Mytilus edulis: one gene and its partner. The protein of the gene in region 1 interacts with the protein of each later gene in a biochemical or structural test. Links are inferred from orthologs where the notes say so. Each region holds a gene or a part of one and is shown on either strand. Other genes may lie near its edges. The genes, in order: protein slit-like and roundabout homolog 1-like.

Region 1 (13,345 bases):
TTTTATCGATTATTAAGAATTAAATATGTATGTTCCACTGAATGCGAAAATATCTGATCTTCTAACCAATCATTAACCCGAATTCTGACAAGTGACGAAAAAGTGTAGTCGGATTGGTGAGACATTTTGTTGTGCGAAAATATCATATCTCAAAAGAAAAAAAAGATGGCACTAGCAGCTGAGATTATAACAGGTTCAGTTTTGTCTAATATATTATGTATAGCTTAGAAAATACAATATAGGTGCAGAAATTTTTGCTCGCCTTGGTAATTGATTGGTTAGAAGATACGATATTTTTGCATACATTGGAACATAAATATTTAATTCTAAATAATCGATAAAAAAAATCAGTTTTTATTGCCTGGTGTAAAATTATGAAAACCTTAGATACGAGGTTTTTGCATAACAGCGACGATATGTCTCTGGTCGAACAAATGCAGTAACCCGGAAGTCATTAAACTAAAAGTATAATTATCATTGAATGGACACGATAATTTTCCGGGAAAAGACCGTTATTGTGATAATTTGTAGTCACAATGTCTGCCCACTTATGTTTTTGAAATGCCCGTGGAATTTTTATCCAGGTGTCAAAAAGATTTAGCACCAAATTACGTTGTCTAACCAATCGTTTGATCATAATCTAATTACTTATAAAAATTAGTGATATGAATAGAAAGCCCTCAGGGTTACGGCTATCTGATGTACAAATCAAAGTCGTAAATTTGTCAAAAATCAAATTGTTTAATTTTCAATTATCACGTATTTATCACTCGCCAGCAGCAAAAAGGCTTTCCCATGATGTACAACAGCATTGCAATACAGAGAAAGTGTCTGTTTTAGTCCGAACTTGAAATTTCAAACGTTGTACATATTTTTTTTTTTAATTCTTTACCTTAGGCCTGGGACTATAATACTAAGGACTATTATACTACAATAACTACAAACATATTGTTGCTTTCATAAATATATATATATATTTTTAAGTTCATGCATTTTAAACTTTTTTGTATTTTTTCTTATTTCCCATTTAAAAGTACATACACAGAATTTATTGTACTTACAGTCTTTCCATGAGGACAAGGTCACGGAACGCGCCTCTTTCTATTGTCTGGATTTGATTTTCTAACAATTGCCTACAAAAATAAAATAAAGGTGCAATGAAATTTTATCCAAGTTCGATTTTAATCTGCATGGGTGGTAGATCTGTTAAATATGGAGAAAAAAGAAGAATTTCTGATATAGATAAAGATACATAATTGCTTTGCCATGCGAAAGGGAGCGATTTAAACAAAAGCTTTAGAACTTATTGATAAAAAAAAAGACTGTTACACATAATTACGACCTAATTCGGAATCAAAGTCAACGTTATACTACATATGTAGTATAACGTAATCAGAGATCAATATTTTAATCAGATTGAATGAAAGTAACAGTATTAACTTTGTGAAGACACAATATCTGCAAGTTTTCTTTATAGTGGCATTTACACATGACATATACAGTACTATATAAAATTCCGAAGACAGTACACGGTGCTCAACAGCTGATGTCGAATGTTCGATGTGGTGGTTTAAAAAAAAGTCATATTAAGCAGGGAAGTTTTAGATCATAAAATGAAGATTTGTATCCTACGCTATGCACATTAATGTTAAGACATGATATCCTCGTTATAAAAAGTCAGAGTTTGTTGATTACAGTGGGGTCTGGAGGAATCATTAATATTCTATGCAACCGTGACTTAATATTATTTCTATTCTGAAACAAAATTCCACACCAAGGTTTATGTTTTTTCTTTAATTGATATGTAAACATACATTCTGACTTAGATAGAGAGTTGTCTCATTGGCACTAATATCATCTTCTTATATCTTTTCTGAGGATAACTCCTTTACATATCGGGAAGATATTAACGAGCTTTGACTTAGCGTCGATAATACAATACCGATACATATGTACAGATACACTTAACTGACAACTATCATGGAAAAGCTGACGATCTCCTCGTGTTTTGGCTGTTTCATTCTAAATCCCATTTGGGGTATCAGTGTTTGAAATTTACTTTAATTGCCGCTAATAATCCATATATCTTGGTTTGTTTGTGTTGGAATTAATGGTTATAAAACGAAGGTGTTAAAACCAAATCTATTTCTTTTGTAAAAGCGCAAAGTGATGTAAGATTTTATATTTAGCATATCACTTCAGAAATTGTCAAATAACCTGTGAAGAAAGACGGATTACCGAATGTAAATATAAATGTTTGTTTAATTCTTATGGCCGAAATATAACCTCTTTTCGATCAATTGTTCTTGGCTTAAAGTAGATTTAGACATATAGTGCAACTCGTAAGATGCAAGTTGATGTGTGATCGAGCAGAAATGGGAATACAGAGTTCACAGAATCGATCATTTCCAAAAGTGTGACACTATTATACTTATAATAAAATAGTCCCAGCTAAAGTGTGGTTTTGTTTCGGGTTTTGCACGCTAACCCTGATGGTTCCAAAAGGATATATAAAATGTATACATGTAGGTCTTGATATATATTTTAATTTGTGTCACTCAACTGATTATAATCTTGAGCTGAAAGCATCTCTTGCATTCATTCTCCGATTGAAATTTATCAAATGAATTATTCGAGTAAAATAAATCGGGATTTTTTTAACGGAAAACGAGGACTTGCACATGTCTATTCATCTAAAGAGAACCGATGTATGATGACTTACAATACTTTTAATTGTCTCAGACCCTGGAGATCATTCTTTCTCATAATTGTCAAATTGTTTCCTTGGAGTTCTCTGTAAAAAAATAAAACAAACATTATAATATTGTGACAGTAATATGTTCTGAGTTTGGCGGACAATCTACGTATTTGAGTAAAACTTCAAGGTATTGTAAAAATACCTATGTAGATGTAAAGGTTGCCTGTAGATATTTGCCTGTAGGGATAAAACGTTAATTGGTCATTGTCGTGAAAGAAATACAGTGTTATGCATTGCACTTTTTTTGCCAATATTTTACCATTGATACCGTGTTTAGTGAATTGTTAAAAAATACTCATATAGTTTGTTTGACAAAATTGTGAAAATAACAAGAATCCCTGGATATTGCTAACCATAACTTTTGTTCTAACTGAACTTCTGTGACTTTTGTTTACATACTATGCTCTCTTGGGGTATTTTTTTTTTTTTTTTGCAGTGGAATTTTTAAGAATTCACATACAACAGAGACGTATATATGTCTCTGCATACAATTTGTACTCTGATATATTTGTCCATTAAAATCAATTTTAGTATGAAAATAAATCAGTCGCTTTTCAAACCTGATTTATCTTATTCCATTGATGCTATATCTATTTTATATGCTCCTTTATGGATATCATTTAGCAGTGATTTTTATATAAAATGCCTGCATATTTACAAGGTATAGTTGTATTGCATGTAATTTAACGAAACATTAAGAAAAAGGCTTTTAGCAAAACATGTCTTTAGAATGCATTTTTTTCAATTATGAACATCACATGAAATTATACTTTAAAATAAAAATTGTTTGTTGCTTGTTTGTCTATACATATCGTCCACCTTTCCGGGGTTACCAGACAAATGTCCACGTCAATATAGTTCAATATATAATTTATCAGTTTGTGTATGTTAAATATACGGTATTACCCATAGAAGTAACAATAGGCTTGTTATGTTTAATCTGAATGTAAGAAATCATTGGCCATGTACATGTAGCATTGTGGCAACGTCGTCACGTTAAAGTCGTCCGTCGCCCGTTAGATAATGTGTGAAAACATGGAGTAACAAAATATCTCAATTACTTTATTGACTTAAGATTGTTTTCTTTGTGATATGTATCAGATAAGACAATCACTAAACGAGAATTATGCAGGTTTACTGATATCAATAAACCCAGACGGATTAATTTCTATTTAAGCGTATACTTTGAAATGTACAGTAATTTAATTCAAATCCGGTGCAGAATGTATAATAGAATTATAATACTTCAAAAGTTTATATACTTAAAGGTCGTTGTAAAAGTGTGCACTATAAGCAAGTTGAGCAACTTGTAAACTCAGTAGATCATAAACATATAGAATGGATTTGGGTGCCTCTACCAAATCAGAGTTTTGTTATTTAACTTTTTTTCCATCGGTAAAGGGCTTTTTAAAATTTCTTAAATGCATTCGTGATATTCCTTGTGTGATTGGGTATTGTTTTAAACTGAGATGAAACAGAGATTTAAAAATTGTCTTTCGAAAATCAATTAAGCTGCAAATGGATAGTTGGATTTCCTGTAGTGACAAAAATAACATTGCACAACGTACATGTTGCCTTTGATGTACATGTAAATATGTAAATCTGACATACATTAACAAGGTCTCTATATTAAAACTTTTATATCTATATTTAACAGTTGTTATTGCTTAGGTAGTATTTTGAAGGCAATTAGCATTACAAGAGAGGCGAAAGATACCAAAGGGACATTCAAACTCAAAAGTAGACAATATTAAAGCTTCAATTGTCGTATGGTTTGAGGGTTTTCGCTAATGCAATAAAAAGAAACTGAGAAATAAAATTAGATCGATTCGTTGTCAAATAAAATTGTAGACACAAACTGTGTCCACTGAAACTGAACAATATACGAAAAGCTCCCCAATACGTCACTATTTATCTTTTAAATCATAATACTTACAACTTTTGTGTGTCTTTTGGAATATTTGTAGGTACATATGACAGTTTTCTGTAACTACAATCCACATTTTTACCCTGACAGACACATTCTGTAGGACATCCTAGAACACTTTCTAAATACACAATTAAACTAATTAAACAAATCCAATGAAATCGGTACTTGAATGGATGTCTTCCTCCCATTTTACAGTAAATATTTTATATTTTTCACAAAAATTTTAAACTCCTAGTATACAACAAAATCAATCACATTGCAAGGCTAGCCCTTTAAACACTCAGGTATTGACTATTAAACTTGATATTCCTTTAAGTTAATTGCTCCACGAGGTATTTGATAAATTTCTTCAATTTTTCAAACCACTTTCACCAATCAAAAATAATCCATTAGACAATCAGAACAAAAACATATTTTTATAATTTTTCACAAAAACTCCCTACTCCAGTGATTACACTAACATAGGTATGATCCATTCCACGAGTCAGGGGTGGGCGGGATTATTTTCTGTTTCGTACACCAATGAAATTAGCCGGTAGCAATTTAGACAGGTGATATACCACATCAAAAACAAATATTGCATTTTTTTTATTATTAATTATGAATTCATACATATGGTATTATTCTACGAGTCGACTCTTAAATTTTTTGTGTACCAATTAGCTCAATTACCAAAATGTCTTTGTCTGATAAAGGCTAAGGACAGTAACTTTATTTCCGTAAATGTTGTTATAATTACAAGAAAACGTACAGAAAAAAGAAGTTTGTATTTGACCGAAATTACCGTAACACTTTGTAATTATAGCCTCCATTTAAGATGTCAAACAAAAGAAAAAGAAATGTAGACAGAAAATGTAAATAAAAAGAAACAAGTTTTTATGATACTAAATAGCCTTACGTGTATAAGTTAATCTCAATTATATAATATTTTTGATGTGTACTGCATTTTTAAAAAATAATAATCACGTTGCATAAAAACTGTAATGCTAGTAATAATCAAAATGAATTGTGTGATATGTTCGAATTAACAAAACGCTTTATGATCGATGCAAAATTTAAAGTATTTCATATTTGTAGCATATCGACGTTGTTTAAAAATTGGAATGCCATAACATGTTTTCTATATATTCTATTTGTAAGTTTTGACATTTTATCGGCATAAAACAGAGAAAAAAAGCAGGATTATAATACATATAAGATCTACACATACTGAAATCTAGAACCCCATGAGACAACAACACTCCACGCTATCCGCAGACTTAATGTCTCAAATCTAAGAATAAGAAAGATGACAGGAATTAACACCATTTCTCATGAGATATTCTTATAACAAAACTAACAATTGACAAAAAGATTCCTTTGGAATGACGAACGTATGCCTGTTCAAACGAGGTTTGAGGAATTAGTTAATAATTATAACTATATAATGTGTTATATATTTATTTGACTTCGTCTTTTTAGTCATGGCGTTGTCAGTTTATTTTCAATCTATGAGTTTGAATGTCTCTTTGGTATCTTTCATCCCTCTTTTAAAACATCGGTGGATTCGTTGGATTTAGGGTGAATTAAAAGTAAATAAATATAATGTTAGCTGTGCTTTTATCTTTGAACAGCCTAGTGTCTATATAATGTGCATGTAACTATTCCCAATTATGTGCATACAATGCCAAATCTCTGGGTATTATACTTGGTCAAATTTTCTGACCAAAGACAAACAAATTGCAGCAGCATCGATTATAGTATATTATCTTATTCGGTTTTACATCAGCATAGTTGGATATAATTTATTAACGAGGGGGACTCAACTGCCAGAAAAAGACTCATTTACAATATGCTGTAATTGACGTGAGAGGAAACAATTAGTCTTAACTGTCCAGGACTAGACACTAACGATGTCAGCCATAAGACAAAAAAATCGTCGGCTCTGATTGTTATACAAGAAAAACACATTGTGAATGAACTAATTACGAGAACAAATGGTTTATCTGTCCATTATCGGTATTCTTTAAAATATATGATGGACATACATTACATTTGGCAATATCATTATTTAGACGAGCTTATAGTACAGATGGGATAGAAATTTGAAAGTTTCATTTGTCATTGATCTGTCGTGGTATCTCCCTTAGTGTTCTGCCAGTCTTATAATGAAATACTGAGATTTCTACGGTAAAACAAATTTTGTTATGCAAAAATAAAAATTCGTACAAGACTAAATTTACGAGGAAAAAAATGAAGATTGTTGTGACCATTTATATCATTCTCTGAGGTCATTCAAATTCTTGGTGATGGTAGATTTATGTTGCTTTATTCCCTGAAAAGCATGTTTTGTCTTAGATGTAGAGAATGCGGTACAAAAAAAAATAATACCAAAAAAATAAACGAACAGTCGTAAAATATAGTTCCTTTGTTTACATTTTACATCGACACACAACCTTATGCACTGAACCCATATAATCTCAAAATCAGTATTTTGTACTGATTTGGGTGGGTATGAAACTTCATATAGCTGAGCAGTCTGACTAACATGCAAGGCAAGGCCCAAGTTGTACTTATACAAGTTTTTTTTAAAATAATTACAAATGAAGAAAAAATAGGAAAAACTAAATATTTCAGCAATAAAAAAAAATGAAATTCGGACACTTCCTGTTAATAATCAAAATATCAAATTTTAGATAGACGAGATTACTTTTGAGAGACTAGATAAATCAAATACTATTAATTCTAAACCCTAGTTTAACAAAAGACAGACTACTTCCCTAGTTTAAACGTGTTATCTTTTATGCTATCTATATAATTGCAAAAATGATGCTTATGTCCGTCAAACAGTTTCCCCAAAACAGTGTATTTGTATGTGCATTTTATCTTAATCCCTTATTTAGCCAATTTTTATGTGTAATGGATTTGTGATATGTCATATAGTCGACCCTTATGAGTAAAATATGAAAAATATAAATATGTGTATATATGTCTCTGGTAAAATCTACTGTTTCAGACATCTTCAATGAGTACTTTGATAAGATATAGAAACCAATTGAGCAGACGTCCATTGTACATGCAGCGACTCGTCTGTCTATTGACTTTTTGACAATTGAATACACTTGTCGAACTCCTACAACTTTTACAAGGTGTTGGCCTTTCACACGACAATTATTTTATTGTATCTGTAAATCATTTGTTAATTTGATGAAGATGACCATTATAACTGTCCACTGACCAGTAAACCGTCATTCGTCATGACAAAACTTCACCTAGGGTGACAATCGATAATGGTCAACTGTCCCCCAATGTTTATTTTGTTGTTATTTATGTTTATACGCTTGTCACAATACTGTCCTCAACTTAGATTTGATGCTCATCACTATATAAGCAAGGAGACTTACAAGTACATATCTTTACTTCTTGATTTCCCCTGTTACTGAATAGGGCGGTGTTATGTTACTACAACTATCGATGCAACTCATAAGGGCGAAATATGCCCTTTGTATGTAGTTTGGACTATTTTGTTTAGGTCTTTTAAACATTGGTTTTACGATCGCAAATGTTTTTAAATAAAATTAAGAAGATGTGGTATAATTGCCTATGAGACAACTCTGCACAAGGGACAAAATTACACAAATCGAACAACTATAGGTTAATGAGTAAAGCCAATACTAGTACCCGCATTGTGAGCAATTAAAGGCCACGAAATGACAAATGTGAAACAATTGAAGCGAGAAAACCAACGGCCTAATTTATGTACCCCAAAAATGAACAAAACACAAATATATAACACAGCAACACACGACAACCACTGATTTACATGCTCCTGACTTTGGACGGGCAGAAATAGAATGTGACGGGTTAAATTAAAAGCACCTACCCTTTCTAATATGGTACAGTGGTGTAACAGTAAAACATAAGATCAAACTATATATTTTTTCCAGATGGATGCAAAATAGAAATACATCTAACAAAACGCAGAGTTGACGTGGCAGGGTACCTTTACATCCCAAAACAAAAAGACACTATAAGTACAGATTTGATAGTGCTTACAGTAACTGCTAGCTAGCTAGTCGAAAGCAAATGACAACCAATATAAACAAAAATTGTAAGGGTTGTGCGGAACCCAGTGTCTCGTCTCCTTTATGACTCTAATAAACGTTTAAAGAACTTTAACTGCAGACTGTTTGTAATGTTAACTGGAAGTCCATAATATAAGTAACGTACAGAAAAACAGGAAATACATTTTTTTTACAAAAGTTTCTTCCAGAGACTAGCTTTTGATCATAGACAAGTTTCTTTTCAAGTTTGGGAGAAATCAAGGATAGTTTAAGAAAGTTATTAAAATAAAAAAAAAAGCAAAAAAAAACACAGACTATAGTTAATGTTATGTTATACCTGACAGAAAAAAAACCTTATAAAATTGAGAATGGAAATGGGGAATGTGTCAAAGAGACAAAAACCCGACCATAGAGCAGACAACAGCCGAAGGCCACCAATTGGTCTTCAATGCAGCGAGAAACTCCCGCACCGGAGGCGTCCTTCAGCTGACCCCTTAACAAATATGTATACTAGTTCGGTGATCATGGACGTCATACTAAACTCCGAATTATACACAAGAAACTAAAATTAAAAATCATACAAGACTAGCAAAGGGCAGAGGTTCCTGACTTGGGACAGGCGCAAAATTGCGGCAGGGTTAAACATGTTTTTTGAGATCTCAACCCTCCCCTTTACTTCTATCTGTAGAAAAAAACAAACGCACAACAATACGCACAGTAAAACTCAGTTTTAGAGAATTCCATTTATAAGTAAAATACGGAGAAAAAGGATTTTACAAAATTTACTTCTGGATAATATCTTATGATAAAAAACAAGCTTTTGTCCCAAGTTTGGTTGAAATCCATGATAGTTTAAGAAAGTTATTCAAATATTAGAAACTTTAACCACAGAGTGACTGTTATGTTAACTGTTATGTTAACTGGCAGAAAAAGTAAGTAAAATATGGGAAAACAGGATATTTTTTTCACAAAATTTACCTCTGGATACTATCTTATGATCATAAACAAGCTTCTGTTCAAGTTTAGTAGAAATCCAGGATAGTTTAAGAAAGTTATTCAAATTTTAAAAACTTTAACCACAAAGTGAATAATTGTATACGCCGCCGACGACGGAATGTAGGATCGCTTAGTTTCGCTTTTTCGACAAAAGTTGACGGCTCGTAAAAAATCATGCATCTAGGACTAAAATTTAGGACCCCATATCGATCAGTACACATCCAACATTAAATAGATAAAGTGTAAAAGCGTCATTAACAGTCAGAGAAAAGACATGACTTTGTGCAAAGATACATATATCGACATATTGTAACCATGAATTTGCATACGATATAAGATAATATTTAGTTTGATTTATAAAACCAGGTTCCATCAACCATTTTCTACATTTGAAAATGTCTGTACCAAGTCAGGAATATGACAGTTGTAGTTCATTCGTTTGATGTTCAGTGTTTTATCATTTGATTTTGCAATTTGATTAGGGACTTTCCGTTTTAAATTTTTCTTGGAGTTCAGTATTTTTGTGATTTTACTGTTTAGATTTACTAATAAAAAAAATTAATATTACTACAAATACAAATAATAATCAGTGATATAAGAACAGTGTTGAATTGAAACCTTTAAGAATAATTTTATCAAAAGGATCGATAAGTTTACCCGATCGTTTCTAAGTTTACGGGCTCGGTAAATAACATAGATCTCCGTAAAAAATAGGATGTGCTATCCCGTTTAAAATAACTTCAAAACCAAATCTTATATCTATGGAAGAATTTGGTAAAGTTTTTAAGTAACTTGTAACGAAATCCCCGAATTAATAATTAACCAGTAAAACATAGATTACTATACGTTTATTGAAATCCAAAACGTCACAACAGACACGGGTATAGCGAACGAGCGAACGAGTTTTGATATCAAACACCGCATGATGGTAGAAAAGATATTCATCGCACAAAAAGGAAAATAAACAATAGGGAACGACAAATCGTAGTGTAGAGTTTTCCGTGTCAAGCTGAATTAGTTTAAATCTAGGCAAGGATGCATGTATACTGATCCCTTTTTGTATTTTCAGTCGAGGGTACCCAGTGAAGTTTTCCTTCAAAACAGACGCCGTGCGCACTGAACATGGTATAAAATTTATCATGTACATATAGAGATAATGTCTTTGATTAAAACAGAATCATCGCGTTTTCCTATTACAAGTCCTTCTAACTACAGAAAATGTAACTCATTTATGAAAATGTCCTATTACCTATTGATAAGATTTTTTTGATAGAATTATGCTGCTATTATTGAGGCCCCTCATGGGGGGGTCCTAGTAATCACATAATCACCATTTTTTTGCCAATATAATCACATAATCATTAAATATTTGCTTATCTTTAGTAATCAAATAATCATAAACTAAAAATACAGTCCTAGGTAATCAAATAATCATGAAATATTTGGCTTAATAATCAAATAATCATTAAAAAAACGACCAAGTAATCACATAATCAAAAACCCCATGAGGGCCCTCATTATTGCTAGAGTCGTATGGTACACATATCCTTATTGTTATACGGTAGGACGTATATGGAGGTTTTTTTCAGTATTACTGCTTATGCTAATCATCATGCTGATACAATGAAGTTTCAAGATTTGGTTGATAATCTGTCTGAATGTATATATTGTACAGTACTCAATATAGAAGTCATCACTTTCCCCTTTCGTATTGGACTGCATTGTTCCACGTGATGATAGCTTTCCAACTCCGAATGAAGTAAGCCGTGTGTTTGATACCCGATTGCTTCAAATTAGATAATTAAAGATTGTTTTTCGACGTAGTCGGTATAGTTTCGGTTTGTGCCCTTTGAACTTAAGGACGCTTAACTATGGCAACAGAATACGCATGCTCTAAAATCCTTTCTGTGATTGGACAAAATGCTGTCATGGTGGGTGATTTGGTTGTGTTTGAAAAAAACGTCACGTTAATTATATCGTGATGGAAAGCAAGTGAAAAATATTTGAACTAGATCTTACAAAGATTTATATTTTTATTAAAATCATTGTTTCTCCAATAGCTCTTTGCATCCATGACAGCTGTTTATTCGGGACAATTATATAATTTTTAATGTTTACTTTGTTGTACGAACGTACATGACTTTTAGAACGCACCTACGCATGTGAGATTTCCGCGGGGTTTTGGTGAATGTAAACAGAAAGATACGAGGACCGAGAATACTGAACAAAAACAGAGAACACGTTATTTAATCGAAATATTCACAAAACAATTTGTAACGTTCTTTTGTTGGTAATTCATTGATTTTTAGATAGTTAGAGCATTGTTGTTCACAAGATGAAGGTAGTGAACGGGCGTTGCCACCAAGGACAAATTGTGTCAAACTATGCAGGTTTTCAGTGCACTGCAATCGCCTTCTTGTAGTTACATTCAGATGGAGATTTATTTAAAGAGGTCCTGCATCATTAAGTCATTGTGCTTCTGAAGGTTATCGAAATGATAGTTTTAAACATATACTCAAATTTAAAAACGTCGGATATCTTTTTTAAAGATAGTTCTTGTTTTTATCTGCTACTCCTGCTCCAATGATGTAACATTTAGGACCAATTGCAGAGATGTGTTCATTTTGGATCAGAATAACTCGGCGTTTTAAAAATCGAAACACATCAGTCTAATACAAAGACGGGTATATTAACATTTTTTTTCAAATATTATCATTCTGAATATGTATTATATATTTGCTATTGTAAATGTGAAAATCATCGAACACTCAATTAGCCATTCGCAGAGGATGATTTATGGTGTTGTCTCTGAACCATCACAGTTTCAGGTTATGATGCTCATGATGCTCATGGTTGTACTGGAAATGAAATGACATCGCCAGTTCGTGTTTACCTGACTGTATGCTGTTTGCTGAAACTGATGACACCACGATACTATCTGGTTACCACGAAAAAACTAAAGTACATGGCCTTGCATGTTTTATATTTTTCATATAGACAAAGCACATAAGCAGAAATTAAAATCAAGAATACAAAAAATAGCACAACAACACATTGGCGCGATGTATGAATACCGAGCTACGCCAAAAGAGTATAAATAAAAATGGACTTAACAGCAAATGTTGATAAGTTACGAAGATAACTTTATACAAGAAGACTTTACTAATAACGCGTAATATAGATGATAAACGACGTCAGTACGTGCAATCTATATTTAAAGGCCATCATGTATTATTTCGGAAGTTGTTACGGAATATTTACCAACAAGGTCTTGTCATCTTCCGATGATTTTTTGTTTAGAAAAAAAAAACACTAAACGTTCTTTGACATAACCCTTGTTCATCAACTTTCTGTTCAGACACTGGTCACGTTTTATAAAATCTGGGTAGGGGCTGCAAGCTCTTGAATACCGAATGACATATAAAATGCATATTCCTTATGCAGGTGGGTGAAGTTTATATATTTCTACTAAGGTGGGGGGAAATTGATGATTTCAAAATCAAAATTGTTTTGTTTGTTATAGATTCTGGTACGTACATGACCGCTTATGTCAAATTCGAGGAATTAGTCTGAAAAAAAACGCAGAGGGAGCGGTGTCTGTTGTATATTTTATTTCTA
Region 2 (13,009 bases), on another chromosome or scaffold:
ATTAATGCAGATTTTTTTGTTTTGTGGTTTTCAAAAATTCTGCATACACTGCAGTACTTGAAGGAAGTTGATATTTTGTTATAGATTTGAATTCTTGGTTGATTGTATTTCCATAAAAATTTTGATAAAATCGGTACCTCACAAATAATAATGAATCTACAGTACTTGATAGTGTACATTTTTTATTTTGAAATATTAAATAAATGGAGATCAAACACTTTAATTCATTTCATGCATGTGACTTAAAAGTGTATATTCATTGGGAAACAGCAAGATTTTCTAGAAGATTTTTCAAAAAATGCAATACTTATTTGTGAGTTGTTATTGTTAACACTATCAAGATTTATTAACAGTTATGGATTCTTTATCAATGATATCAAGGATACATTCCAAATGTTTCGTCTTTATCCATACCTCCTTTCAGATATTCTCTATGGTGAAGGTATCACACAATTTGTAATGCCATGATTAACATGACTGTAATCAAGGGAAGAGCAGGATCTGTTTAACTTTCTGAACACCTGAAATTACTCCCAGTTTTCGTTTGGGGGTTGGTATTGCTCAACCTGTATCTTTCTGTGTAGCATTCTATGAACAGTTGGGTTTTGTTTTTTATCGTTTTTTTCTATTTTCATTTGACCAATCAATGTGTTGTCTGCCTCTCTTCAACTTGTGATTTTTTATTTACCTCTTGGCATTTCCATGTAGTATAATTTGATATTAAGAAAAAATAGATATGTCAAAGCGACATGAATGGCCCCGTAAAAAAAAAAAATCTGTATAAGGGTTTGTTGCGGAATGACGGAATTACGGAATTTCAGACAAGGGTAAAACTATATGGCACCAATAACTTTGTTGCGAGCCATAAAAAGACTACTTTATTAATCCCAATTCCAGAATAGTCTCCTCAATGAAAGTAATTTTAGTGAGGCAGTTTCCAGTGAGGTCTAAAGGTACGAGTGTATTATCTAATATGTGTCCTCAGACTGGCAACTGAATGATGAATACAGTATATAATGTTTTGTATCTTTTGTGGTATAATTTACACATAAGTTATCAGAGTAAAAATAATAATAAAAAGTTCACTAAATATTCCACAAAATCATTGAATGATATTGAAAACTGTTATATTTTCAACTTCGTACATTATTTGGCATTTTAAACATTTTTTTATTCGAGAGTCACTGATGAGTCTTTTTCAGACGAAACGCGCGTCTGGTGTAAGTGTAAAATTTTAGTCCTGGTATCTATGATGAGTTTATTTTCAACTTGTACTATAATGCACCTATATATATATATAATTATAAGGTATCTTAGTACAATTTCTTTATCCTGTCTGATGATCCCTATTACATAAACATTAATACCCATTTTACAAAAATTATAAAGAAGATGTTTTATACATATATACATTTTCTTACCCTTCATACTGCGGAAAGTACAATCGGACTCTGTTTGAAATGTATCATTAAACAGTCTTTATAGGTCTTAAACACCCATTTTATGCTAAAGGTCATTACATTAGACTGTTTATGATTTATGTCATTCTATTTATGTGCAGCAGCATGCCTTTTAAGCACAACATTTTTCATTCTTGTCAAAATACCAGAGTTTGCATGCGTCTAAAAATGTAACACATGTCATATATTAGGAAAATACAACTTTCAGCTTAAAAACTTTTAAATGCATACAATGGGATTGATGAATCTCCTGCTGGTGGCATGCTTTCAAACTAGCCAAATCAATGATTGTTACACAAAATTAAATCTTTTTGTCCACTTCAGTTATTAGTCGCTTAAATGTAACCTTTCAAATTGATCCCTTAAACCTCCTTCACTATTCATTCACCAATGGACTTTTATAGCTTTTGTTCGTTAAAACATCTTTTCAACCAGAAATCTCTTTTAAGATTTCTAAAAGAAGGTGGCTCACAATGTAAACAAAAAATCTTTACTTTTCTCATTTACCAGATGTCCAAAAAATATAATTATGTTTTGGTTTAAATAAGTGGATTAAAAAATCAATGTAGAAAAAAATGTAGGAAACAAATAGAAAATGACAGGAAGGGTGTAATAAGGTTACTGTTTATTGTGCCGATTTAACTAGATTTTCTTATAGCTAGACGAGAGATAATTCTCTTCCTATTCTTATTTATAGCAATTAAAGGATTTCCTTAAAACTGGTGTATTCTATGTTCTATTCTTGAACAATATGAATGATTCAGGTTGGGAAAAAAAATCAAATCCATTCAATTACTAACTGCATTTTTGAAACAAATTTAGCATTGATTATAAGATTTTGCCAATATTTCTAAATATTTTGCAACTTTATATGTAAACATATGACAATTTAAATGTCAGAATGAGGTCTAAAGCCTTTAGCATTGTCTTGTGGTTTTTTTTCTTTGGTGAACAAAAAAGTATCATAATGAATCTATTCTGTCCGTAAAAAATGTGAGTAATCTATCTGTTTTGACAATTTGTTGTGCTCCAATCAATGCATCTATGATTAAATGAAGTATACTTTTTTGGTAAATTAGTCATTTATCTGCCGATATTGTGATTACATTACATAACTTTGTAGTGATAAATGCTTTAGGTGGCAAATGACAATAAAATAACATTTTCTCATGTTGTGAGAACATTCCAGTAAACAAATTTCTTCCAACATTTTTGTATAATTCTACATTTGATATGAATTACTGTTGCAATTATCACTCAAAGCACAAAGGTAAATACATGTTTGATGAATTATCATCATGGCCTTGATTTACGTCAAGAAATGTGTAACACACAGTGTCATACCATCATCATCCATGTACTATCCTGAACCTTCAGATAACAAGTTTTACTTTAACTACCTGATAAAAATCCTCTGGAGACCAGAAACTCTACTATCTGGAGCAGCCTTGTGTAACCCCAGGCAGCAAAGGGGCAGGCATTGAAATATAAACCCAGTGAGCTAAGTGGTCAGTATGAAAACATTACATTTACCAATTTACAATTAACTAAGAAAAGAGGTCAAGGGCAGGTTAACCCTGACAGACAGACAGGTAAATTCTAAAATCATGGTATACACAGAATATAGTTAACCTTCTATCTGTGTGTATAGCCACAATGAAACAAATCTTATTCCCACTGAGAACACACGAACAGTATTCTTCACTGTCACTTCCAAGTTAAAATGGGATATTTTAAATTTAATGCTGTTCAAGCAAGTAATTAGAATTCTAATCTGAAAATTCAAAAAGTAATGCTATAACAACTTTCAATCTCTTAAATGCAGAAAAGGTAAAAACTGGAACAAATTGAGACAGTAACTGAGATCTGAACAAATACCAAAATACAGCTCAGAAATCAAAACAACAACAGCTACATATAACTCTGTCATTCCACTTAATTTGCAACAATCTATTGGCACAGAGACTGCAATTTAAATGTAAATATAAAAAAGAAGATGTGGTATGATTGCCAATGAGACAACTATTCACAAAAGACCAAAATGACACAGACATTAACAACTATAGGTCACCGTACGGCCTTCAACAATAAGCAAAGCCTGTACCGCATAGTCAGCTATAAAAGGCCCTGATAAGACAATGTAAAACAATTCAAACAAGAAAACTAATGGCCTTATTTATGTAAATAAAAATGAAGGAAAAACAAATATGTAACGCATAAACAAACGACAACCACTGAATTACAGGCTCCTGACTTGGGACAGGTAAGTTAATTGGATAATAAAAACATGAAAATTATAACCTCTTCTGTTTATTTATAGTCTAGTCATTCTAGCATAAATTTGACCCTATTTACCTTGAAGTAAATGCAACAGAAGATTTAAAAAGTTTTGATCTTTCGCATTATACCCTAAAAAATCCTATTCTAATTTTTTAAATAATAAACAATAGAGTGAAAGAGTTTACCATAAAAAGAAACAATCTTTGTAAGTACAACTTGTCAACTTCCAAGTAAGGATCGAAGCTCATAAACTCGGCAATAAATAATAAACGCAGGACTAGGGCAAGTCTGGAGCGCGGACAACCTTGCTCTGTACAACTAGTACTGAACAATAGTGATTTTGGATTGATTATCATCCAGTGGCAAATATTACATGATCTTCTACTGAACAATAATTATAAGTCATTAAAATAACTTTTTTTAATAACAATTTCTTTCTATCCTATGTTACATATACATTACATTTTTTTTTCTTCAAATACAAACATTGATCAACTAGAAAGGTATTTCTTCCTTCTTGTAGTTATATGAAGATTAAACATTCAAGTTTTTTTTTCAAACAATAAATGAAACCAACTGACTGTTTGCACACATGTAAATGATTTTTTTTCAATCATTCTCGAGAATCATTCAAGAAAATCTTACATTGTACTTCAGATAAAATTTTGTTCATCTCAAAACCAGTGATTTAAATTAAGTTACATTGCTCAGATTTTTATATGATGTAACTATCTATAAAGATTTACACATCTCACAACATTTCAAATAAATAAAAAAAATAATGATGGAGCTGATCTTGCTTCAAGTTGTTCTACATTTCTATTCCAAATAGACGAAAGCTAAATTGCATATCTATCAAATATAACCGGAACTAAATTCGATTAGCGAATGTGATGGTTTACAAATATTATTTGATAAGGAAGGGGGATAATCATAAATAGTCAATTAGAGAATTGATGATATCGTAATGACAACTAAACTTCCGCTGGGAATTAATTTATATAGCCGCCAACCTGTATAATGACTTTTAATTTCATTAGAGATAGTATCATAGCTATAGTTATTTGTATAACTACCCTATGTGAAAATAGAATGAAAGTTACAATGCATGAAATTCCCTTACAAGAAATCAAATTACAATCTGACTTTTGTGGAAGCAGTTAATATTTCAGAATATGAAAATATGACTTTTACAAATTAACTGTATATCATATACAATTTTGTTTTATGATCAAATAAAGGTAATTGTTTACTACAAAATTATTTGGATATGTTATTGTAACAAATGGTGGATCCCATTAGTACATTAATCAATTTGCTTATTACTTGAATATTGGAATATATGGTACTGTGGATTTATTCAGGGTTCTCACTAAGGTGAGTCCATGAGTCCTGGACTCATCAAAATCTGTCTGGCTTCACCATTTTCAAAACTGGTGAGTCCACAGATGCATCAAGATTGAAATATTTTGTATAAACTGAACACAGTTAAACACAAATATCATCATTTTATAGCAAAAGTTTAAAAGTGATCTGAATTTAATGTCATTTCATTGCTGTGTTAGCATGAATAGGAAATGGAGACTAAAATATTACATTATATTGCAATAAAATATTTTCTTCTTTCTGTTGGACTCATCATGGCTAAAAATGATGAATCCCTGGACTTGCCTTCAAAAATCCTTAGCGAGAACCCTGTTTATTGCTAGTTGGATACCAATTAAATAGGTGGATTTTGTTGGTATATATGAGCCACAGATTTAAAAGGTCAACCAAGTACAAATTGTCTATTGACTTGTATTCAGTCTTTTGTAAAAACACAAATCAAATATCCACCAAAATTCAACTTTATTTCATTCCCGAAAAATAAATGAAGCTACAGAACTTTGAGTGTGCTACAATTAATGTACAGTAGGTCAGAGAATATAGTTCTAGCAAAGTGGAAACTTTAAAATAACCACTGTTATATTTTTTATCCCAAAACACTGTAATAATTTTAGAATAATACAATAAGTTGCTTAACTGATACTAAAACTCCTAATTTAAAGTATCAGTAACCAGGAATCAGGTGTTTAGCAGATCCTCAAACGCCTGACACATTGCAAATCATCACAGTGAAGCAGTTGACAAAATCTGACGTAATTCTGGTTAACAGTTACTGAGAACAACATTCAAATATTTAATGGCTATAGACACATTGTTTGATAGACAATATGTCTTTTTGGACAATTTCTAAAGTTGCTTACATCTAACAAAACCTACCAAGCATAAAATTGTAAGAAAGCCATTTCCAAATCAATGCCATTGCATATCATATAACTCTAATCAAATCAAGTTAGAACTGCATTTGTCAATGTTTTGTTTCAGAAATCTCATCTTAATTTCATCTTGAATATGTGCAAAATTACTCTGTACTTAACAAGCAAGCACTATACAGCAAGTTGTTGTAATCTTTATAAGACCCTTAACCTCTCACCGTGAACTCTATTTACCCAGTAGGTTCATCCATAACTATTCATATACATTCTTCTGAGGTTGATGTAGACTCAGGCAATTTCTCTCACACTAAGCCTTGGACCTAAAACCCTGAAATTATAAAGAGATCAATCTCAATCAAAGATCAAGCACTTCACCAAGTTTGGTCAACATTACCATATTGTGTCATTTCTTTAAACTTTTAAACTCAGTCCCAGGCAGTATTTCTCACCATACCTCTCGGACATTGTAGTGTAAACCAAAATTAAAACACTGGTAAATGATATATATTTAAACTAGTTTTAGTTCTTTCGCTACAGACATGTTATTCATTTGCTCCCGCTTTCTAGATTATTTGCCATTTTTATTTTCTTGTTCCAGTTACTGGTTATCATGTTAGTAAATTTAATGTGAATGATTTTTATTGTGTTAAAAGTTTTGTGACGTATGGAACTTGAAAGTCTAAGTTGGAGGTTTATGCATAAAACAGGTTTAATCAACAGCACCAACTTTTGTGCCTGTACCAAGTTTGTCCACACGTGTTGTTCAATGTTGTTTGTCTTTGTTTATATGTTTGCTATTTCAGAGGTGTCCCACGTTGATGGTTGATGTCGTCTGTTCATGGCAACAAAAGTAAGACCAAAGAATGATTCAGTTGGAATAATTAGTCCAAGAATGGTGACAAGTCTTTCTCCAGTCTGTTACCCTGTGAACTAGCACATTAAAAACTAACTCAGGTTGTTGTATTAACATTTGATATAAACATAACAATCCTTCAAAGAAATGTAGGTGTGAGAGTGCTTACATTGTCATTTTCTATGAAATTAATGTTTCTAAAGGGAATAATCATGTAAAATGGTTGATAAGTGCTGATTTTTTAAATCATTTGAGACATTCTTGATATAAATTGTTGATATAAATTATTGTTATCTGGCAATAATTGGACATTTGAGGGCACTAACATTTTTCTATAGAATTTACAATATTAAGGGCAGAAATCTTGTACAAATCACTGATCAAAACATTCTTGTATTAACCTTCAATATAAATTTCATAAATATCTGGGAAGTATTGTACTCAAGAGAGCACTTACAATGCTATTTTCTATAGAATTAATTTTTCCAAGGAGTATAATTCTTTTAAATAAGTTGATTAGCACATTTACTGATTTAGAAACCAGATATCATCCTGATTTAGACTGAACTGTTCAACACTATTTGAAGTATATTATGCTGAATTACACTAAGTGTACTGTGGCAAGAATGTTAAGGCTGGGTGGAACACATATTCCTTATACATATTCATAAGTGGATAGATATACAAACGGTAAAGCATACACACAAAAAAGTGAGTATAATCCATTTGCAACTTTGTATAAGTTTTCTGCTGATTAAAACATCAAATCTAGTATTAGGCTTGTTAAATGTTCTCATGGAACAATTTTTCTCCTTTTATTTCTCCTCCTGAACTAATAAACTCTTATCTCTCATTCTGTAACCAAACAAACATGGTTCCTTAACCAATTCCATACAAACTAGGCGAGCTAATTTTTCTTCAATTTGCAAACTTATTAATCAATCAATCCTATCACTGACCAATCATTTGATCTATGGAAATACCGCCAGACAATGTTATCTAATATGTAACAAACCATGAGGAAATTCCAATCTCATTTCAGACAAATTATACTGACAGTTCTCTGTATCAATAATAACTGGCACAACACAAAGGTCAGAGTAGAATAGAACATCAGTAAGTATAGGGTGTATACAAACTATTGACAAAGGATACAGACATTAGTACTATTGTAGTGTACTGTATTAATCAAGGGTGTCGTTGACGTAGAGTCATTGATTAATAATCAATCACAAAATCATCAGCTGATGATAGTTGGGAGGAAAACACAGATAAACCAAACTTAATTCCCAAACATTATCAGCAAAACAAGCGGAAATTATAAATTAGCTGTCTAAATGAGAAACTGGAAGAAATGCCCTCTTGTTGCCCGGATTAACACAAAAAATGATGTATATTTATAAGAAGGTTATATCGTGGTGGCAGGATCATGCATAAAGATAGTATCGTTTCAATTTGGACACAGTAATCAGAATGGCGATTACTCACTCAGAACATATATAATAGAATCTGTCAGATTGATTCATTCAACGATGCTCGTCATATTTCTGGCCACAAAGTACATAAATGGAATTGTTCATATTGAAGATTTTATTAATTAGGTTTTATCTTGTGAAGGAAAGATGTATCGGTATATGACAAGGGAGGCGTGAGAACCAACAGGTCCATTTTTACACTTGTCATATTTTTTTATACCGACCCAACTGTTGTATTTAATACATTTCTACTTTATTAGGTTATTGCCTGAATATATGGGATTGTCTATTTACAACAGTTTTCATACTCATTTAACTCTTAAAGAATCTATATCAATAATCATTTGTATTTACTCCAGCAACAGGTAAATCAATACAGTCAATGTATTTTGACAGCATATTCAATTTTATTGTGGGGCCTAAAGTCTTTTAAATATTGATACAAATTGTTTGATAACATTCCACATTTAGAGAATTTTCATTTTTCAAAGAACTTTTCTCAAGGACACTGACAGATAGAGGGCGCTGAATCATTAGAGTTAGTGATGTCCAAGAAGTTTACCGTTTTGAGTCATTAGAACTGTTTCATTTTTAAACTGTTGCCTTCCCTCAACTATTCTTGATAACTGCTATGAATCTAGTGCGATTTCAACAATTTTGTTTGTGAAACTTGCACCAACTTTGAACTTATCTCATGGCAGAAATTGAGTGGAAACATTTCCAGATCCTTGCTGTAAATCTGGTCTTTTTGATAAATTTTTAGAGTTTTGTGGCTGGAAAAAAAATTAAAATCATGCAAAATCAGTTCACTATGCACAGTTTCACATTTAGTTGAAACTTTTTTAGTTTTTTTTTTTTACAACATCTATAAGCTAGTCAATAAAACATCTTATGAGAGAAAAAATATGGAAATCCTACTTTGAAACATGAACAATAAATTTCCATGTTCAAAATTCTAGTTTATTCAAGTTCAATTCAATTCAACTATTATACAAGTCATTCAAAATACAATTGATTTTTTTTTTTTTTTTTTTATTATTATTTTCTTGTTCACTCTTAAGGTTATATATTTATCAAGGAATCAAGCAATAATAATCTGCATATATAACCCTTAAAACAAAATGTTTAACCCTGCTCTACCACAAACATGTTTATAAAATCACCTCAAACCATGATTACTATTCCATTTAAACTCAAATAAAAAATGTTTCCAGTAGATCACCATCAGGAAAATTAAATACGATAATTTTTTTATCGTAAGCTTACGGGAATGTTCAACATAATTTCAAATTAAATAGTAGTACAGAATGACATGATTTTCCGCCCTTGGCTTTTTAAGCAGGAAGTACCGATTTTTCAAGTAAAATGTTTTCTGCTGTTAATATTAAACTCTAATAGGTTTATCAGTTAGGTAATGAGGAACCCTCCACTGAAATTGACATTATTAACTTGCAAAGTCATAATATGCATTAGAAGTATTTCATTCTTGATTGAAAATGGGGAGGCAAATTGTCAAATGCATTAAGTTAATGAAAGGGTTGACAATAACTACATAGTTTACACGATGTTTTTCTATCTGTAGGCTATAAGTTACATTTGGATTAACACATTTTTAATACAGTTTTAATTTGTTTATAACATATTTCTTACATGAGCAAAAAAACAATATCCATTTTCTCATGGCAGTTATAAAATAAAATTAGTCACAAATGGTAGGCAAATATCTCACTCTTCAAAATTCCAGATGGAACATTGTTTAAACTTGTATAAGTTTTCATTTCAAAATGGTTAAAAAAAAAACCTGCAAGGAGGCACAAAAATTGAGGCTTGGTAAGGTTAGTATAGTTTCCTTTCAGGTCTAACAAGAATGTGTCCCCAGTACACGGATGCCCCATCCGCACTATCATTTTCTATGTTCAGTGGACCGTGAAAATGGGGTTAAATCTCTAATTTGGAATTAAAATTAGAAAGATCATATCATACAGAACATATGTACTAAGTTTCAAGTTGATTAGACTTCAACTTCATCAATCAAAGCGCGAAAGCGCTGTAAAGGCAGTTAATTACAGGTTGTGTGTATTTCTAGTCCAGTTATATCATTATCTTACATAGAACAGAGGTGGTTTGTAGTATTTAAGATTTAGAGTTCTCTTGTACCTAGTTCACCTATATCTATAGTCTACTGTTTACTGTATATTTTCTGTACCTCGCCATGAAATGCATTTTTAAGACATAAGAACTTTTCCTTTTTAATGTAAATAAAACTATTTTTAATTATTGATTATATACACATATTCAATTACTCCTATCCTATGAAAAATAATTCACAAAGATTGACTAGTCTCCGTTCTGTGTGTATTGCTAGAACATCAAGTAACATAATGGTTAATGTGTAACAGTTTATTTCTTCCTCTGTGATATTTTATCCTGAGGATAATTTGTCCCGGTAATTTTTTTCCAGGCATGGTATTTCACAGGTTGATTTTTTCCAGAGGAGTGAAAATCTATCTGTGTTATGCAGATAGTATGTACCGGTCTATATTTGCCGTACTATATTTCACAGAACCGTGTGAAATAGAGTCCCATTAACTACTATGTAAGTTACTCACAATCAATATATACCTGACTATAATTATAAAATACTTCACAAAGGTAGACCAAATTTGCATAATTTATCAAAGGGAGGTAATTATGAGCAATTTATATTTTAAAGATATTAATATATATTTCTGAATCTATTTTGTAGTGAAATTTTTCCTTCAATCTTATTTTTTATATATTCATTTATATAAAAAGATGACTTACAACTTGATTTTATAAGACAGATAACATTTCACAGGTAAAAACTATCCAGCTGTTAAACATGCTTTTGTTCCAATATATTATTATGCTATGATTTATCTGATTTCCATATAATCAACAACTACATCTCTGTCTCCAGACAAAACTATTTATATAGTTAAAAATATCATCATAATCAAATTCTTCTATTACTGTTAACAGTAGTAATGCAACTATATTTCTACCTTACTTTTAAATGTATATTTGTACTGAGATCTGAAAACAACTCACTTTTACATCATCGGTATTTCACTAACCTTATTTAATCATGATATTATTTCATCGGTATTTCACTAACCTTATTTAATCATGATATCATTTTCACAATTACGATCTTTGAAATTACTTCTGGTTTTCTTCCCTATGTTTCATGATAATTTTCTTTTTTAAAAGGATGATATTGACTTGAATATTTAAGGAAATTTTTTCAAGGATAATTTGTGAAATTATTTCTCATTATAATACATTTTTTTTTTGTAACAATTTCGCTTTATTTCAAATACACTATTATTATTTCATAGTATTTTGAAGGATAAGTTTTTTTCTAATAACTATTCAATAAGTTAACTACCCAGATAGAATTTCACGGCAAAGGAAAACATATCCCAGGGAAATACATAGTAACATGTCAACTCTTTTGAAGACAGAACTTTTTTAAAATTCTCCCTCCAAGCAAAATTATTTTTCAGTATAAACATGATAAAGTTATCTACCTGTATTAATGACCTAGAGACTCTCAAGAGCCTGTGTCGCTCACCTTGGACGGTCTATGTGCATATTAAACAACGGACATATATAAAATGACAAAATTGTGTTTTTGATGATGGGGATGTGTTTGTAGATCTTTCTTTACTGAACATTCTTGGTGCTACAATTATCTCTATAGATATATCTATAATAAACATGGCCCAGTATTTACAGTTGAAAATATTTTTTAAAAATTAACAAAAAATACAAAAATTTATGAAAATTGTTAAAAATTGACTATAAAGGGCAATAACTCTTTAAGGGGTCAACTTAAAATTTTGGTCATATTGACTTATTTGTAGATCTTACTTTGCAGAACATTATTGCTGTTTACAGTTTATCTCTATCTATAATAATATTTAACATAATAACCAAACTCTGCAAAATTTCCTTCAAATTACTAATTTGGGGGCAGCAATCCATCAACGGGTTGTCAGATTTGTCTGAAAATTCCTGGGCAGATAGATCTTCACTGAAGAGACAATTTCACCCTATGTCAGATTTGCTCTAAATGCTTTGGTTTCAGAGTTATAAGCCAAAATCTACATTTTACCTGTATGTTCTATTTTTGGCCATAGTGGCCATCTCGGTTGGTTGACCGGGTCTAACCACACATTTTTTAAATTAGATACCGCAATGATGATTTTGGCTAAGTTTGGTTAAATTTGGCACAGTAGTTTCAGAGAAGATTTTTTGTAAAAGTTTATGGACGACGAAACCAAGTGATGAGTCAGGTCAGGTGAGCTAAAAAGGAGTTTTTAATCAAGGTAACAATGACATCTGGTGGCCATAAAAGCTGTCTCATTAGCATTTTAACCACTTCCCATATTTGCTTTTAAGACAATAGAAGAAAATTATTCAATGCAAAAACAAAACTTACTTGTAAATATGAAATTCTCTTTACAGTATGAGTTTTTCTCATTGTTGGAGATTGTACAGTAGTACAGTCCTGTAACTGCTTATACCCATTTCTTATCCCCTTTAGTTTGATAAACTCACAGAATATCATATATTTACATTGTGCCACATCTCCTTATTTTTATATGCATTACAATAACATGAACAATTGTAATTCAAATCTATATATCAAAGCAA

What was found.
Region 2: the proteins of protein slit-like (region 1) and roundabout homolog 1-like form a complex in vitro, tested with the Drosophila melanogaster proteins (2 studies listed by BioGRID). The link is inferred for Mytilus edulis from reciprocal best matches to the Drosophila melanogaster genes sli and robo1.

What each region holds. Positions count from the first base shown.
Region 1 is NC_092347.1:16,749,487-16,762,831, forward strand, and holds the start of protein slit-like, read right to left. Parts: upstream 5,175-13,345; 5' UTR 4,877-5,174; coding exon 4,695-4,876; intron 2,795-4,694; coding exon 2,723-2,794; intron 1,134-2,722; coding exon 1,062-1,133; intron 1-1,061.
Region 2 is NC_092348.1:87,628,098-87,641,106, reverse strand, and holds the start of roundabout homolog 1-like, read right to left. Parts: upstream 6,330-13,009; 5' UTR 6,217-6,329; intron 1-6,216.